Arabidopsis thaliana: one gene and its partners. The protein of the gene in region 1 interacts with the protein of each later gene in a pairwise test. Each region holds a gene or a part of one and is shown on either strand. Other genes may lie near its edges. The genes, in order: LHW, BHLH32 and AT1G68810.

Evidence for each region.
Region 2: the proteins of LHW (region 1) and BHLH32 interact in a two-hybrid assay, tested with the Arabidopsis thaliana proteins (one study listed by BioGRID).
Region 3: the proteins of LHW (region 1) and AT1G68810 interact in a two-hybrid assay, tested with the Arabidopsis thaliana proteins (one study listed by BioGRID).

The regions. Positions count from the first base shown.
Region 1 is NC_003071.7:11,648,523-11,654,759, forward strand, and holds LHW (transcription factor-like protein), read left to right. Parts: upstream 1-1,836; 5' UTR 1,837-2,207; intron 2,208-2,294; 5' UTR 2,295-2,372; coding exon 2,373-2,467; intron 2,468-2,925; coding exon 2,926-3,205; intron 3,206-3,316; coding exon 3,317-3,376; intron 3,377-3,454; coding exon 3,455-4,480; intron 4,481-4,572; coding exon 4,573-4,674; intron 4,675-4,747; coding exon 4,748-4,861; intron 4,862-4,941; coding exon 4,942-5,067; intron 5,068-5,168; coding exon 5,169-5,318; 3' UTR 5,319-5,621; downstream 5,622-6,237. Other genes in the region: AT2G27229 (Pentatricopeptide repeat (PPR) superfamily protein), read left to right, coding at 661-1,035. UniProt on the Arabidopsis thaliana protein: Transcription activator that regulates root development; promotes the production of stele cells in roots. Coordinately controls the number of all vascular cell types by regulating the size of the pool of cells from which they arise.
Region 2 is NC_003074.8:9,367,569-9,372,091, reverse strand, and holds BHLH32 (basic helix-loop-helix 32), read right to left. Parts: upstream 2,594-4,523; 5' UTR 2,495-2,593; coding exon 2,006-2,494; intron 1,542-2,005; coding exon 996-1,541; 3' UTR 605-995; downstream 1-604. UniProt on the Arabidopsis thaliana protein: Transcription factor required for MONOPTEROS-dependent root initiation in embryo. Transcriptionally controlled by MONOPTEROS.
Region 3 is NC_003070.9:25,859,384-25,864,142, reverse strand, and holds AT1G68810 (basic helix-loop-helix (bHLH) DNA-binding superfamily protein), read right to left. Parts: upstream 3,050-4,759; 5' UTR 2,855-3,049; coding exon 2,240-2,854; intron 1,753-2,239; coding exon 1,261-1,752; 3' UTR 609-1,260; downstream 1-608.

The DNA of each region.
Region 1 (6,237 bases):
TTGTAACATACTGGCAGTTACATTTAAAAAAACTGTCAAGATTACTTGAAATCATTCGGTGTGGTGCCTTCTAAAAACCTCCCAATGCTCAAATTATATCTTTATTTTATTTTATTGTGGTCAAAGTATTACGATGTTCTTTTAGTGATTCAGTATAATGTTCATAGTTTTTCTGTTAAAAATATCATAGTAATTATAGATCGTTTTTATGGGGAAAAAAAAACTTAGTACATAGTAAAAGTAGTTAATAATCTATTAAAAAATAATATGGTTTGGACCTTTTTGCACCCACTAAAATATCAGTATATAACTAAGTTAAATCTTTAAATTAGTAATTACGAATTGCTTGATGTTAAATTAAAGTGTTAATGAGTTTTTCAGAATTTAATTTAACATGATAAATAATAAAATAATCTAAATATTAAAGAGTTTATTAGAAAATAGGCATTTGTCTTGGTTATATATTTATTTTAAGGTATTTCCTTACATGATTTTCGAAAGAGGTACTTTTCTCTTGTGAAAAGTCATCCTTATCCTCCTCTCATTTGCATTATCTTTTACCCAATTGAAGCAATAAGTCGTGTCTGTTTCCTATATTCGATATTTGCATCACCAATTGAAGCAATAAATCGTGTGTGTTCCCTATATTCAATTGAAACAATGGCGATATATGCATCATCTTCTAAATCGCCACTCCTGCAAAGACAACAACTCGGATTTTCAAGAATCCAAGTTTTTATATGGAAAATCACTGAGAGAGAGATCATTGTGAGGGATTTAAACCGGTTTCATCATTTCAAGAATGGACTTGTGGTGATTACTGGTAATTTGAAAAAGACAGGTGAGACGATATTCAAAAACCGGTTTCAACTCATTGTTATTTGTGAACCGATTTATTCTTGGTATAGGAAGACTCTGGGTGGGAAAAGATTCCAACTTTGCTTACGAAGGTTAAGTCGCAACAAAGAAAGCTTCTTTATTTCCGCCATGGACACAGCCTATCGTAGTCATGTGGACAGAACTGAAATTCTCTAAAATCAGAACCGAAATTCCACAAAATCAGAACTAAAGTTCCATAAAATCTATAAATTTTTTCGATTGGGTTCCCTATATATTATCTTAGGGTTTAGTATTGTGTAATTAAAAAGAAAAATTAAGTTTGCTTGAAAAACAAAGAAGAAATCGATTTAATCAGATTTTGCAACTATGTTCGATAAAGAAGAAGAAGAAAGAAGACGATGAAGAAGAAGAGAAGGAAAAAAAGACAGGGACAAAATTGTCCCGATTGAAGCAATAAATCGACACTGTTGTATTCAACTGTGGAAAATACCTATTTTGAAATAACTTTATTTAAAATGCCTATTTTAAATATAAGCTCAATATTAAACACCTTGAACTTATGTGTATTTATTATTTGTGTGTACGGGAAGCAATACCAGAAAATGAAAATCTCTTTTATTTATTGACAATCCATAATCCTACAAATCCTCTAACTTCTAGACTTATGCCGTTATTAAATATTTTAATATATATATATACATATATATTTTTAATAATTATATTTAGGAACGTCTTTTAATTTATCTCCGAGGGTACACTTTTTTTCTTTATCTCTTTTGTTTTTATCTAAAAACAAACTTTTAGGATATTACCTCACGAAAAAAACAATAAATTATTCGTCTAGCACCATCGGAAAAAGACAAAAGACTTCGACTACCCCACTCAGTGGCACAATCCTGTAATTTCTACTAAACATTGATACCCTTTCTCGAATTCATCGTGTTCTTTGTTTTTAATAAGATGGTACTTTTTCCTCATTTTTCAATCTTTTTTTCACCAAGAAGCAGAGAAAAGAAACATTAAAGCAGAGAAAAAACAAAGACAAATAATCTCCATTTGCTTTCTTCTCCATCTTCTTCTAATTTTCTTCAAGTTTTATCAATGGCTGGTGTTACTGGAATCTTAAAGCTTGAAGCTTGGAGCATCTTGTGAAGAAGATTAACTAGTTTCTTGTATTTTTCTTTTCTGGGGTTTTGAGTTTTTTTTTCTCTTCCTTATTACCGGAAGTAATGGCATGTCGGAGTATGATCGCTTTTAGTTTAGATCCTGAAAGAAAACAAAGTGGAGGACTTAGGACAAAACAAGCTGGAAGAGGATCTTGCCGTGGAAGTTAGTCTTTGTTCAAATCCATTTTCCTCTTAAAGAATGTAATAATGGGTTTTTATTGATTGTTGTAGATTTGTTAAAAAGTTTTGTTTTTAGACCTAAAGTTTCGATTTTTTTCTTCTGGGCAGTTTGAAATTGCACTGTTGCAAGTGAAAAAGTTTGTTCTTGTTGGAGCTTAAAGAAGAGAGAAGAGAAAGAGAAAAGCTATGGGAGTTTTACTAAGAGAAGCTTTAAGGTCTATGTGTGTTAATAATCAATGGTCTTATGCTGTTTTCTGGAAAATTGGCTGTCAAAATTCTAGGTACCACTCTTATTCTCCTAATTCTAATAAAGTGTCAAACTTTATTCAGTCAAATATATTCAGTGTTTGTTAGTTTAAAGTTTGAGAATTTTTTGATAAGGGTTTAAAACTCAGATCTCGAGGATGACTAGAATTATTTATCTCTGTTTAATTCTTGGAGTTTTGTGTTTGGTTTGATCTTGTTTGTCTTAAAGAATCTTTCGATTTGTAGTTGTTTTGTCGACAATAACTATATCCTTATTATTTGTTTATGAATTGTCTAAAGAGTTCAAGTTCTTTAACTCTCTTGTCATTTCAATTTTTATTTCTTGTCTTTGTTCGTTTTGTCTTTGTTTAGCCCAAAATCTTTTGTAATCGTCTTTTTGTGGTATTCTAACTTAAACGATTGTTGCATATTTTTGTCATGTGTATTCTAATTTTTTTTTTTTGATGTGTTTTTTTTACTTGTTTTTGTGCAGCTTGTTGATTTGGGAGGAATGTTACAATGAAACCGAATCGAGCTCGAATCCTAGAAGACTTTGTGGACTTGGTGTTGATACACAAGGGAATGAGAAAGTTCAGTTGCTTACAAACCGAATGATGTTGAACAATCGAATCATTTTGGTAGGTGAAGGTCTAGTTGGCCGAGCTGCATTTACTGGACATCATCAATGGATTCTAGCTAACAGTTTTAACCGCGATGTTCATCCACCCGAGGTTATTAATGAGATGCTTCTCCAATTCTCTGCTGGTATTCAGGTTTGATACTTTCTTCATGTTTTGAACATCCTAAGTTAGGCTTCTTTAGTGTATATATATGTTCAAGCTCATAAGAACTGTTTGTGTGTGCTTATTTTGTTTGTTCTTCAGACTGTTGCAGTTTTTCCGGTTGTTCCTCACGGTGTTGTTCAGCTCGGTTCCTCTCTGCCTGTAAGTTCAAGTTACATTGTTATGTGAAGTGAGATTCTTGTTCTTGATTTAACTGTGAATTGTTTTTTGTGTGTTCAGATTATGGAGAACTTGGGGTTTGTGAATGACGTGAAGGGTCTTATCCTGCAGCTCGGATGTGTTCCGGGGGCTCTCTTATCTGAAAACTACAGAACATATGAACCTGCTGCTGATTTTATTGGAGTGCCAGTGTCTCGGATAATACCTTCTCAAGGACATAAGATCCTCCAATCTTCGGCTTTCGTAGCTGAAACTAGCAAACAACATTTCAACTCCACTGGATCATCAGATCATCAAATGGTTGAAGAATCTCCCTGTAATCTTGTGGATGAACATGAAGGAGGATGGCAAAGCACAACAGGATTTCTAACAGCTGGAGAAGTTGCAGTACCTTCAAATCCAGATGCGTGGCTGAATCAAAACTTCTCTTGTATGTCTAATGTGGATGCAGCAGAGCAGCAACAAATCCCATGTGAAGACATCAGTTCGAAACGCTCGCTTGGAAGCGACGACTTGTTTGATATGTTGGGTTTGGATGATAAGAACAAAGGTTGTGACAACAGTTGGGGAGTTTCACAGATGAGAACAGAAGTACTCACTAGAGAGTTATCCGACTTTCGGATCATTCAAGAAATGGACCCTGAGTTCGGTTCTTCGGGGTATGAACTTTCAGGAACAGATCATCTGTTAGATGCCGTGGTCTCGGGTGCTTGCTCCTCCACAAAGCAGATCTCAGACGAAACTTCCGAGTCCTGCAAAACCACCTTGACTAAAGTTAGTAATTCTTCGGTTACCACGCCGTCTCACAGTAGCCCTCAAGGTAGCCAGTTATTTGAGAAGAAACATGGGCAACCATTGGGGCCATCATCGGTCTACGGGTCTCAGATAAGTTCTTGGGTTGAACAAGCGCACAGCTTGAAGCGTGAGGGCAGTCCAAGGATGGTGAACAAGAATGAAACTGCAAAACCGGCTAATAACCGGAAAAGGCTTAAACCAGGAGAGAACCCAAGACCAAGGCCTAAAGATCGCCAAATGATCCAAGATCGTGTCAAAGAGCTGCGTGAAATAATACCAAACGGTGCAAAAGTAAGTGAAAAACTTATCTGTTCTTGGCAAATTAAACAATCCCTAAGAAAGGTTATTACTAACAAAGAGTACATGTGGTTTTTATTTAACAGTGTAGCATTGATGCACTCCTTGAACGTACAATCAAGCACATGCTCTTCTTGCAAAATGTCTCCAAGCATTCTGATAAGCTGAAGCAAACCGGGGAATCCAAGGTATAACATAAAACAATAATATTTTGGTGTCTCTCATGGATTCTTGATCTAACGTTTGTTGTATTGTTATAAGATTATGAAAGAGGACGGTGGAGGAGCAACATGGGCTTTCGAAGTAGGGTCAAAGTCTATGGTGTGTCCAATTGTCGTAGAAGATATAAACCCGCCTCGCATTTTCCAAGTCGAGGTAACATTTCTGCCTAAGGTTCTTAATAAAAAACACTCAAGATCTCGGTTTTGATCGAACGTTTTCTGGTTTTGTAACAGATGTTATGCGAGCAACGAGGATTCTTTCTAGAAATCGCAGATTGGATCAGAAGCTTAGGGTTAACGATCTTGAAGGGAGTCATCGAAACTCGAGTAGACAAGATTTGGGCTCGCTTCACTGTTGAGGTATATTATATAAGTTACACAAGGTTGTTTAACTTGGAAAGATGAGATTGTGTTAGAATGTATCTTATTTAAACTGAAACCGGGTCGATATTGGATTGTAGGCGAGTCGCGACGTGACGAGGATGGAAATATTCATGCAACTAGTGAATATTTTGGAGCAGACAATGAAATGTGGAGGAAACTCTAAGACTATTTTGGATGGTATCAAAGCTACAATGCCTTTACCGGTTACTGGTGGCTGTTCAATGTAATGACACAAATTATTGACCGTACCGGATTGCTCCGGTTTAATAAACCGGGCTGGTTAAAAGCTTGATTCATATAGAGGTTACGAGCGGACCGCTCTCAAGGATTTTAGGCTCGCTATGACTAACTAAAAAGTCAGTCTAAACCAGAGATGATGATTTTTAAGTGTGTTTTTTTTTCTCAACTTTATGTTTTGTACATTAGTTGCGAATTTTCATTTGTGTGGAATTTTTTAATTTTAATTCAGTTTTGGAGTTGTAAAAAATTTAGTTAAATTGTTTAAAATTATTCTCGACCAGTAAGAGTTCAAACAATTCACGGATTTCAAGACCGGTAAAAAGAACCGGTCCATCAACAGCTTTAACAGTACACAACAAAGCTTCACATGTTACAAGTACCTTTATGTTACTTTGATTAGTAACTCTATGTATATAATTAGCTTATTATTAAAAAAAAAAACACAAGAAGCTCTACTTTCAATAAAACACACTCTTTATTAAGAAACGTGAGGCCTATAGAAGAAAAGCTAATAATAGTTAGTTATAATACTTTTGTTAACAGCCTTATAATGTGCTATCATGTGAATTCATAATCTCTAATGGATGTCTTAATCCATTCCTAATATTTACATTTTCTTCATACTACTAATTAGTGGATCAAACTTAGTCCAACATCAAATTCTCAAAACTGCGTTTTTGTTTGTTGTCTCAAAAATGCTTTATTTACACTTTTGAGGTACCTAAACTTTGCTGCAAAAGGTGCATGAACATCTTTGTGTCTTGCTTTAGCCATCTCTCCACTCTATAGATTATGATGGGATAATCGACAGCACATTATGATTCACTAAAATTCATTATATTTTTCTTGGGCCCTTCAATTTTCTTCCTCACTTTTAAAATATGCTTCCAATAATACTTTATCAAC
Region 2 (4,523 bases), on another chromosome or scaffold:
TCCGACTGTTGGACCGGAATACAGAATTTGTCTAAAGCTGTCTAAGTAATAAGACTCAAGAAAACACCAAATTAATAAGCCCATTTTTTTGGTTCTACGTTGAATTTTGGACTAAAGGAAAAACCAGTAGATACAAAATGACGAGATCATGACGTAATGTGCTTGTGGTATCAACCGTCTCTGTAATATTGTAATAAATAACGTAAGTCAGTAACGGCGAAAGAGACAATATTATCAGAGATCCCAAAACTAAGTTTCTATAAATAGAACTAAGATCTAAGTTTTCACTTCTCACGAAAAAGATTCGATCTACTACTACTCTCGATTTCACTTGATATAACTTACACAAATCTTCCGTCACATAACTCTCTACATCAATCTAATTTAAGAAATATCACATTAATTATATATCGGATGTGAAGAAAAAATTGTGGTTTTAAAAAATATGTAGAAACTGAGGAAATAAATTATAGAGTAAGTACGACATAGACTATTTCTCCCATGCACATTTAAAAACTGATTTCGACATAATCGTTGTAGTTTGTCAGAAAAAATAACAATGGATATGCGTAAGAGATTTCTTTATGTCATTTCTCTTATATCAGTCACAATAGAAAATAAATTGACAAGTATAAAACTATACTCTATACTATTACTACGTAGTGTTGTTGCTTATAAACAAAAGATTAAATAGTTGCAGAGTTCATGAATATGATAAATAAAACTTCTTGATAAATTAATACAAACCCAAGCTCTATACATTTCCTATATTAATTAAGACGATAAAATGTCTTAACTACCATATATAAACCAAACTCATCACTATAAAACCCTAAACAAAGGGTTCTTCATAGATTAAAAAAACATAGAAGAAGAAACCCAATCCCAACTACTAAAAACACCGAAAATAATACTAATATCACCAACCCATAATCAAATCCCATTTTGCAAGTCTAATTAACTAACCCTAGTTAATAAAGACTTGACTTAATTAACTAATTATAACATCGATTCACCATCTTACTAGTCCTTTGCCTCTTAATACCCCCTGAAGATGATTTCTCCAAGTTATTGTTATCGTTACTTTCATCATTATTATGAACACACTTCTCTATAACCGCCTTTAACGCTTCTTCTATCGAACTCACACGATTATTCATCATCCTCTCTTCATCATAATCCTCCACGTCATCACCATCGAAGTTTCTACGATATGAATCATGATCTTCTTCATCATCGTATTCTCGGCTCAAGAACAAGATGTTCTTGACTCTACCACCTACGGTTGCGATCTCAGCTTTGAGAGTTCGAAGACGAAGAGACTTTAAGGCATTGATGACGTCATGCATGAGGTCAGTCCTGTCTTGGCAGCAAAAGGATGCTCTTATCACCAAGTTTCCTTCCTCGTCGTTGTAAGACGAATCTACGGTCAGATCATCGCACTCTGTTGGGACTTGATACGTGTCGGTGATCTGTGATGTTTGTCGTTTTAGCTCCTTCATGTGTTGGATCACTTCCGCTAGCAAAGAAGCTTTGTCCGTCTATACAAAACCAAAACGAATCATAAGTATTTAATCTTCTTATTCTTCTTCTTCAATAATAATAACTAGTACAAAAATACCCCATCTGTGGACTATAATTACTTACCAAAAATATCGATTTGATACATTTATTTTAAATTTGAAAATTTACAACTACTAAACGATAATAGTTGAACAGAGATAGATAAAAATGATAATATTGAAAAATATAGTACTTATCATTTTTGAAACTGAATAATTAGTACTATATTTATCAGAAAAAGAACAATTACTACTACTCTCTTTATTAAAAAACAACAACAATTACTACTACTCTAACCAATAATAACTAAATAAAGAGAAATTTTGAAGGATCATTAATTAATTAAAACTATTTTTCCATAGGGTTTTCAAAATAGTGAATTAGTTTCTGAAATATCAAACCATAATGAAAGGAGAAGAGTGTTTATTTATAAACGACTTACTTTGGTTGTGTTTGGTAATATACTACGCAGCTTAGCAAGATGAGTGTTGATTCTCTCTCGTCTTCTTCTCTCAGCTTCACTATGACTCTTTGAAGCAGCTAAAGCCTTAGCATCCATGACTTCTTGTGCACTCAATTTTCCCATGATCTCACCATCGAACCCAAAGGACGAGCCACGACGCATGATGGGTCCAAGAGCTTCGGATAAAATCCTTAGATGGTTCTGAGGATGATCCATGGAAGGAGGAGGAGAGACAAAACCGTCGTTATAGTCAAAAGAAGAAGAGGAAGAAGAAGCTCTTCTGTTGAAGTAGTGAACCGGGTCAGAATAACGGGTCGGGTTAGATGGGAAATGGAGTGGGTCAAAAGAAGGTAAAGATGTCGACGACCAGGGGAGAATTTGTGGATGATGATGAAGATGAAACTGGTCTTGATAGTCTTGTAAGTTGTGAAATGTTTGAAGACAGTCTTCTTCTTTCATTGCGTACATTTTTTGGTTTTTTTGGTTTTTTAGTTTTTGGGAGAAAGAGAATTTTAGAGAAGAAGAGACAAAAGGTCACAAACATCCCATTTGATAATGCATACACATGTGTATATATAGTGCTATATAATGTGTCCTTAATTTTTAAACAAAATTTATTTGATATTTTAATATTAAAGAATTCTTTCCAAAAAACCTTTTTCACCGGGTTATACAATCAGACCGCCATTATCTTTGATCACATCAAGGAGAATTGTGAGAAATAACGTATGAACTTAGTTCCATATAAAATGGCAGAATAGTATAGTGATTACGCAAAAAATATTATGTAACCTGAATTTATTTTCAACTATAATGTACCGTTAATGGATTTTTGATGTATTGCTGTATTCCAAATTTTTTAATTAAAAGTTAGTGGTTTTTCCTGTTTAATAAAAAAATCTATCATTTTCTTTGATTAAAATGTTATATATTACAGGTTTTTATGGGACCACTCTTTTTTTTTTTCTGGTATATCTAACAAAACAAATGAAACTGCAAGTGCTGCACATCTTCTTTGCTTTTCTTTTACGACTTCTAAATGGGGAGCTGTCATCATCTTGTGGATTTCTCTGATGGATTTGGCTTCCTATGAATATTATTATTTATTTATGTTCTTAAGAATTGATTTCATGTTAATGAATAGAAGATTTTTGTGCCTTTTCTACTTAAGTTAATCGTATTTAGGATAAAGTTCATGCGATTTGTAAATGAGGAATACCACGCCACCACTATATCAAAATATTATTTAGCAAAAAAAATACTAATTCAAAATATTTCGATATGCATGGTTATATATTAATCGTAACAGTTGATAATATATACAGTTATTTTCGTATATATTAAGATCTGTGAAATGCGATCAAGAATAATATGCAATAGTAGAAAATCATGATTTTAGCAAGATGATTCTGGTCAGCACCTAATTCATAGGCAAAAATAATAGTTGACAAAGTTATTTCATTTGAAACTTTTAGAAGTTAGAATGGTCAAATAGACACAATCATGTATACTTATTTATTTTTTTGGCATTTGACATGATCAGGGACCCAAAAGATATTGTCTAAGAACTCTATTTAAGAAAAGAAAAAAAAGTCTCAGATGCTAACTGTGAAAATAAAAGATGATGTCCAAAATTGTAACTAAGGTGTTTTTCTTCATCAAAACAAAGTTTTTTTTTATCTTGGGTTAAACCTAATCTAAGATTGTAAGCAAATCAAGAGCATTTCGTCTGCCTAATTTCTATAAGTATAATAAGAAATTTTCGAGTTTATACCACGACTCTACAATTCTACAAAGAAGAGAAGACTAAAGTAGATTTAATTTATATAATCAAACACTCCTACACAATTTGACATGCATTTAAAGGGGAAGAAGAAAGAGGTCATGATTATTGTTTTTTCATCAGGTTCTGAAACAACGCGTTAAAAGAATTTCATTTGGCTGCTTAATGTTTTTGTTTTTTCAGTGGAAAGCATAATAATACTCGAAAATTAACCAAAAGAATAAAAAACAAACACTGACCACAGGACACACGGATTGTCGACCGACCAGAGACCAAAAAGACTTTTACTTTTAATCATTAATAATCCCACTCGTTTCGTATAGCCAAACCCACTTTCTTGTTTTTCTTTCCTTCTTTAATCTAGTTTTTAATCTAATCAAGATTTTCTATGTTATAGATTTGTCTCAAGTGCACCGAAGAGATTCTCTCTTTTATTTAATCTATTCATACATATCCAACGGATAAATTTTGATTATGATCTGAATATATCTTCGAGTGTGTTAGCTTAATTGTCTCATACTAAAGAAGATTCAAATCCTAAAATAATTAGTGAAAATTCTCAAACCTAACTCAAGTTTACCATCCGCCAGTTTATCAAGTAGATGTGCATATAATCATTTTTAAAGAAAAAAAGAGTTAAAAAGACTTATGAAAAAGAGGTAAAAAGACTTATATCATTATATATATAATGAAAAGGAGTGGAAAAACTAAATA
Region 3 (4,759 bases), on another chromosome or scaffold:
CAATGCAAATGGTAGGTAGTCCAATATCTTTGTAGAATCCAACAAACTAATAAAATTCATCTCATTTTATGTCGCTCTAACAACATGACCAGCTGAGCCCTAATTGCAAGTCTCCACAAAACTTAGAAATCTTCTAAGTTTTTGGTTTGATAATGAAGACGTAATTAACATAAATTAAAATTAAATTCAAGGTTGTCTATAGAGAAAGCCAAAAGAGGAGTCAGTACTAGTCTACTAGACAATTCACATGACCGTCACTTAGGTAAAAATGTTAAAAGACAAATGAAATGGCAGTTAGGGTACAATAGTACGTAAGTAGTACTAAATGATCATAATTATTAATAACGTCGACGTACTTCACTTCATGATGCAAGCTTAACACAAATACGACGTCAATTACGTATGTTCCTCGTCATGACCAATCTCAATCACAATCACTTATCATCCCTATAAATTTACACATTTCTTTAATAACAAATTTTAAATACTTCGATCAAGGACGTGCTCATGTGCAACACATAAAACATAACACACTTACAAAATAAAACTCTGGTTAGAATACCATGTTAAATTTCATGGACCAACCTAAAAAACTAATTGGCTACGTCCTTTATATCTTAGTCTTGGTCCCGATGTTTACCTCATACCAGTCCATGATGCAAATTTATATAAAGCAAAATATTTGAATATATGTAAATCGTTACACGAAAAAGATTCTACAGAACACATAAATACACAAGGCAAAAGAGTCAGAGAAGCATCAACGTACGAAGCTCAGAATCCCAAATTTGTCTCTTTTTGTTTTTCCCCCGGACAGAACCCGACTAAATCAATTAATGATACACATCATCTTTGGTACGTTTCCTGTTCTTCTTCATTGTCTCTTTTTGGTCTCATTCACACAATTGCAAAAATAAGCCAAAATTAAATTCAAATCCTCCCACATGACAAGAGAAAACGAATTTTCCAAACCCATGCATTGCCTTACAGAAATCATACTTTTTTTTCGTCACATACTCCCATTAAGCATATCTAGAAAACCAACTCAACGATACAAGTTTTTAAAAATAAGTATCTTAGAACCAAACCAAAAGTCCAAGACCACAACGGATACAAATACTTCCGTTATACATACACACAAACACACATATATCTATAGTATAACGTGACGTACAACATTCATTTCCATAACCAGCAAACAACACACGTAGTAGATACACCGAAAGTAAGAAAAAAAAAGCGATTTAAGTAAAAAATTGATTACCTCTGATTATATTGTTGTTGTTGTTCGACGATAGTGATAGTGTTGTGACTACTCATTCTCTGTCTCTTAGCATTTCCAGAAGAAGATGATTCCTCTACATTGCTCTTCTCCATCACCGCTTTCAAAGCTTCCTCAATCGTCCCTATACAGTACTCTTCCTCCACTTCCTCACCGGAGCTCTCTTCTCCGGTAACAAACAAAACGTTCTTGACTCGTCCCCCAACGGTGGTTATCTCCGCCTTGAGCGTTTTGAGACGCATAGCTTTCAATGTTTTAATCATGTCAGGCAAGAGATCCGACCTGTCTTCACAGCAAAGCGACGCTTTAATTACAAATCTGCCATCTCCGGTTTCTTCCTCCTCCGTGAAAGCTACCGTTAACTCATCGCTTTCCGTTGGGACAAGATTTGTCTCTGAGATCACTGAAGTCTCTCTCTTCAACTCTTTCACATGTTGGATCACTTCAGCTAGTAACGACGCTTTATCCGTCTGCATTAAAAAAAACGAAGAAAAAACATATTTGTATAGTTTCGAGGAGAAAATTATGTGGTCGTAGAAGTTATGATTTGGTCCGGCAATAAGACTTTTTATGCTTTTTAAGCAGCGCCGGTTGTTTCTCTTTATTACATCAATTAACCAAACGACGACATAGACGTTCCATATTCCTTGCTTTTTTATTTATACTACAGTCTCTGACTGATTCTCTCTCGGGACTTTAACAAATACCCACAAGATCATTGATCAAAACAGAAAACCTTTGAATAACTTACTTCTCCTTTTATAAAACCTAAATGTAAAAAAATAAAAAGAGACAAAATGTGACATAAACTTTCATGTCGCAGCTACTATGTTTTTCCACTTAAACTCTACATTGTTTTAGTATTATTTTTTATTTACAAAAAACTTAAACGGTGTGTGATTGATGAATGTTTTTACTTATGTATGAAAATTTATGTTATAAAAATTTTGGACTTACTTTGGTGGTGTTGGGTAATATGCTACGGAGCTTAGCGAGATGATTATTGATTCTCTCTCTTCTTCTTCTCTCAGCTTCACTATGACTCTTTGAAGCAGCCAAAGCTTTAGCGTCCATGATCTCTTGTGCTGTCATCTTCCCTAACTCAGCTTGTAACCCAAAAGGACCGGACCCGGCTTGTACTACCGGACCTAAAGCTTCCGACAAGATCCGAAGTTGTTCATGATGATGATGTGCTGCTGACGTGGCTCCACCAAAACCCTCGTACCCAAACTGTAATCCCTGATGATGAGCTCGACTTCTGTTGAAGAAACTTCCGTAGAAAGATGCTGGAGAAGAAGAAGGAGGAGGAAACTGATCAAATGGTGGTTGGATCGAGGTAGGTGGAGGTAGAGACCATATTGGAGAGACGGAATCTTGAGAGAAGATAGTGAAACCAGATCCAACGTTACCGGATGCTCCCAAAGTTTCAGATTGAGAAGGATCATGATGATGATGGTGATGATGAGAGATGAGTTGGTGAAAGAAGAGGTCATTTTGGTAATTTTGTATGTTGTTCATGGCTTCAGAACTGTCTTCTTCTTCTTCTTCTTCTTCTTCTTTCTTAGCGCACATATCACTTGTTTCTATGAAGACATGAGAGTCTTCATCTTTCAACTCTTTGTCCTCTTCTCTCTCTCTATATATGTATATATATATGTGTGTAAGAGAAAGGAAAGGTTGGTAAAAGAAGGTAGGAGAAGAAACGAAAGTTAAGAGAGTTAAAAAGAGACAAAAGTTTGCTTTCAAATGTTGTAGACGCAGACATATATAGGAAACTCATGCGTTTGTTTGTTACCAATGGTTTGCAGGATATGTGGAGTTTGCAACTTGTGTTTTGTGTTGTGGTGGAATTATTAAAAAGGTAAAAAAAAAAAGGTAATGGGTTTAAGATTCTTTAGATTATCTATCTTTTAATTTACGCATTTAGTACTTCACGGTCTATTTCTATTTCTATTTCTAATAAGTATATGGACAAGCAATGCGATCGCCAAATATCCATACACAGAAAAATAATTTGTATATATAAAAAGACACAAAAAGAATTTATATATACAAAATGACACATAATACATATCTTTTAAATTTGTTTCAGAGCATCGAAAATATATGAGTCGGCACTATACAGATTTAATTGATTTATATAAATAAAATCTACGCTATAGCACTAAACTAGGTATTAGAGACCACATAATATACGTTACAAATTTGTAGGTATCAACAAAAAATTGATTATTTGTCTTCTATTAGACCACTAACTAGTTATGGGAGAGCACATAACATTGTGTAGGATAGTGATTTGGTTATCTTTTTTTTTTGGTCAATTGTTTTCTCGTTGATATAAAACCATGATACTAATTAACAAATATTAACCAAATTCATGTAATCTAATAATTGATACTAATGTTTCCTTATGTCATCATCCGAATTCAAATCCTCATAACTAAATATTATGACCCTATTATATTGATAAGGCAAATGAGTTCTGACCATAAGGAATTAATGGGCTAAATGAGTTAGATTGTAAAAGATTTATGATTCACCAATATTTACCCACATTTTGTTAAAAACTAAAAAAAAAAGTAAATGATATTCGTTTCTTATTATATTCATGATATCATAATATTATCATATCATCACCATCATACCCCATTATCATCATCATGATCATATAATTTCACAATTTGTTTTTTTTGGTCAAAAACTGAATTTCAATGAATCGTGAATTATGTAATTTCGCAACTTCCAGCTAAAAGTATTTCATAATAATTATTGCTAAAAACACAAATCCACAATTTTCCGCTATATTCAATGTTTCGTAAAAACATGATTTTTGCAGAGAAAACTATATTTTTGTTTTGTTTTGCAAAAGCACGATTCCAAAATTTTGTGCCATAAAGGTGATTTCAAAATTATGATGATAATGGAGATGGTATGAAATGATGATCGTTATGTTATGATGATGATAAAAATGATAATGCGATGATGATGTGAAGACAATGAACGTATCACATATGATACCGATTGTAATAACTATTAATTATGAAAATATGTGATAAATTATTACAAAAATATTTTATGGGTAGAACTATTTTATCATTTTGATTTTCGACCCATCAAATTAGATAGATTAATAGGCATTTACCTCCCCTCATACCAGAAACTAGAACATTTTATATGGTCAACCTATTTACTAAATGGCTTACGTTCTTCGTTCACCTAGTTAACATTCACCCCATAAACATTATGGATCAAATTGGACTGGATTACCCATATTGTCACCTATAAATAAACAAAATTTAACATAAAATTAAATGCTTGCAAAATACTAGTGTCAAGTGCTAATAGTAAACTCGTCTTAAAGTTACAATTGTTATAACTTATAACATAATTTACAAAAGGTTTATATTATGGATTTTATATATATATATATATCTAGATTTAAAATTTATATTTTACAAGCTCTAGGTCTTCATTTGG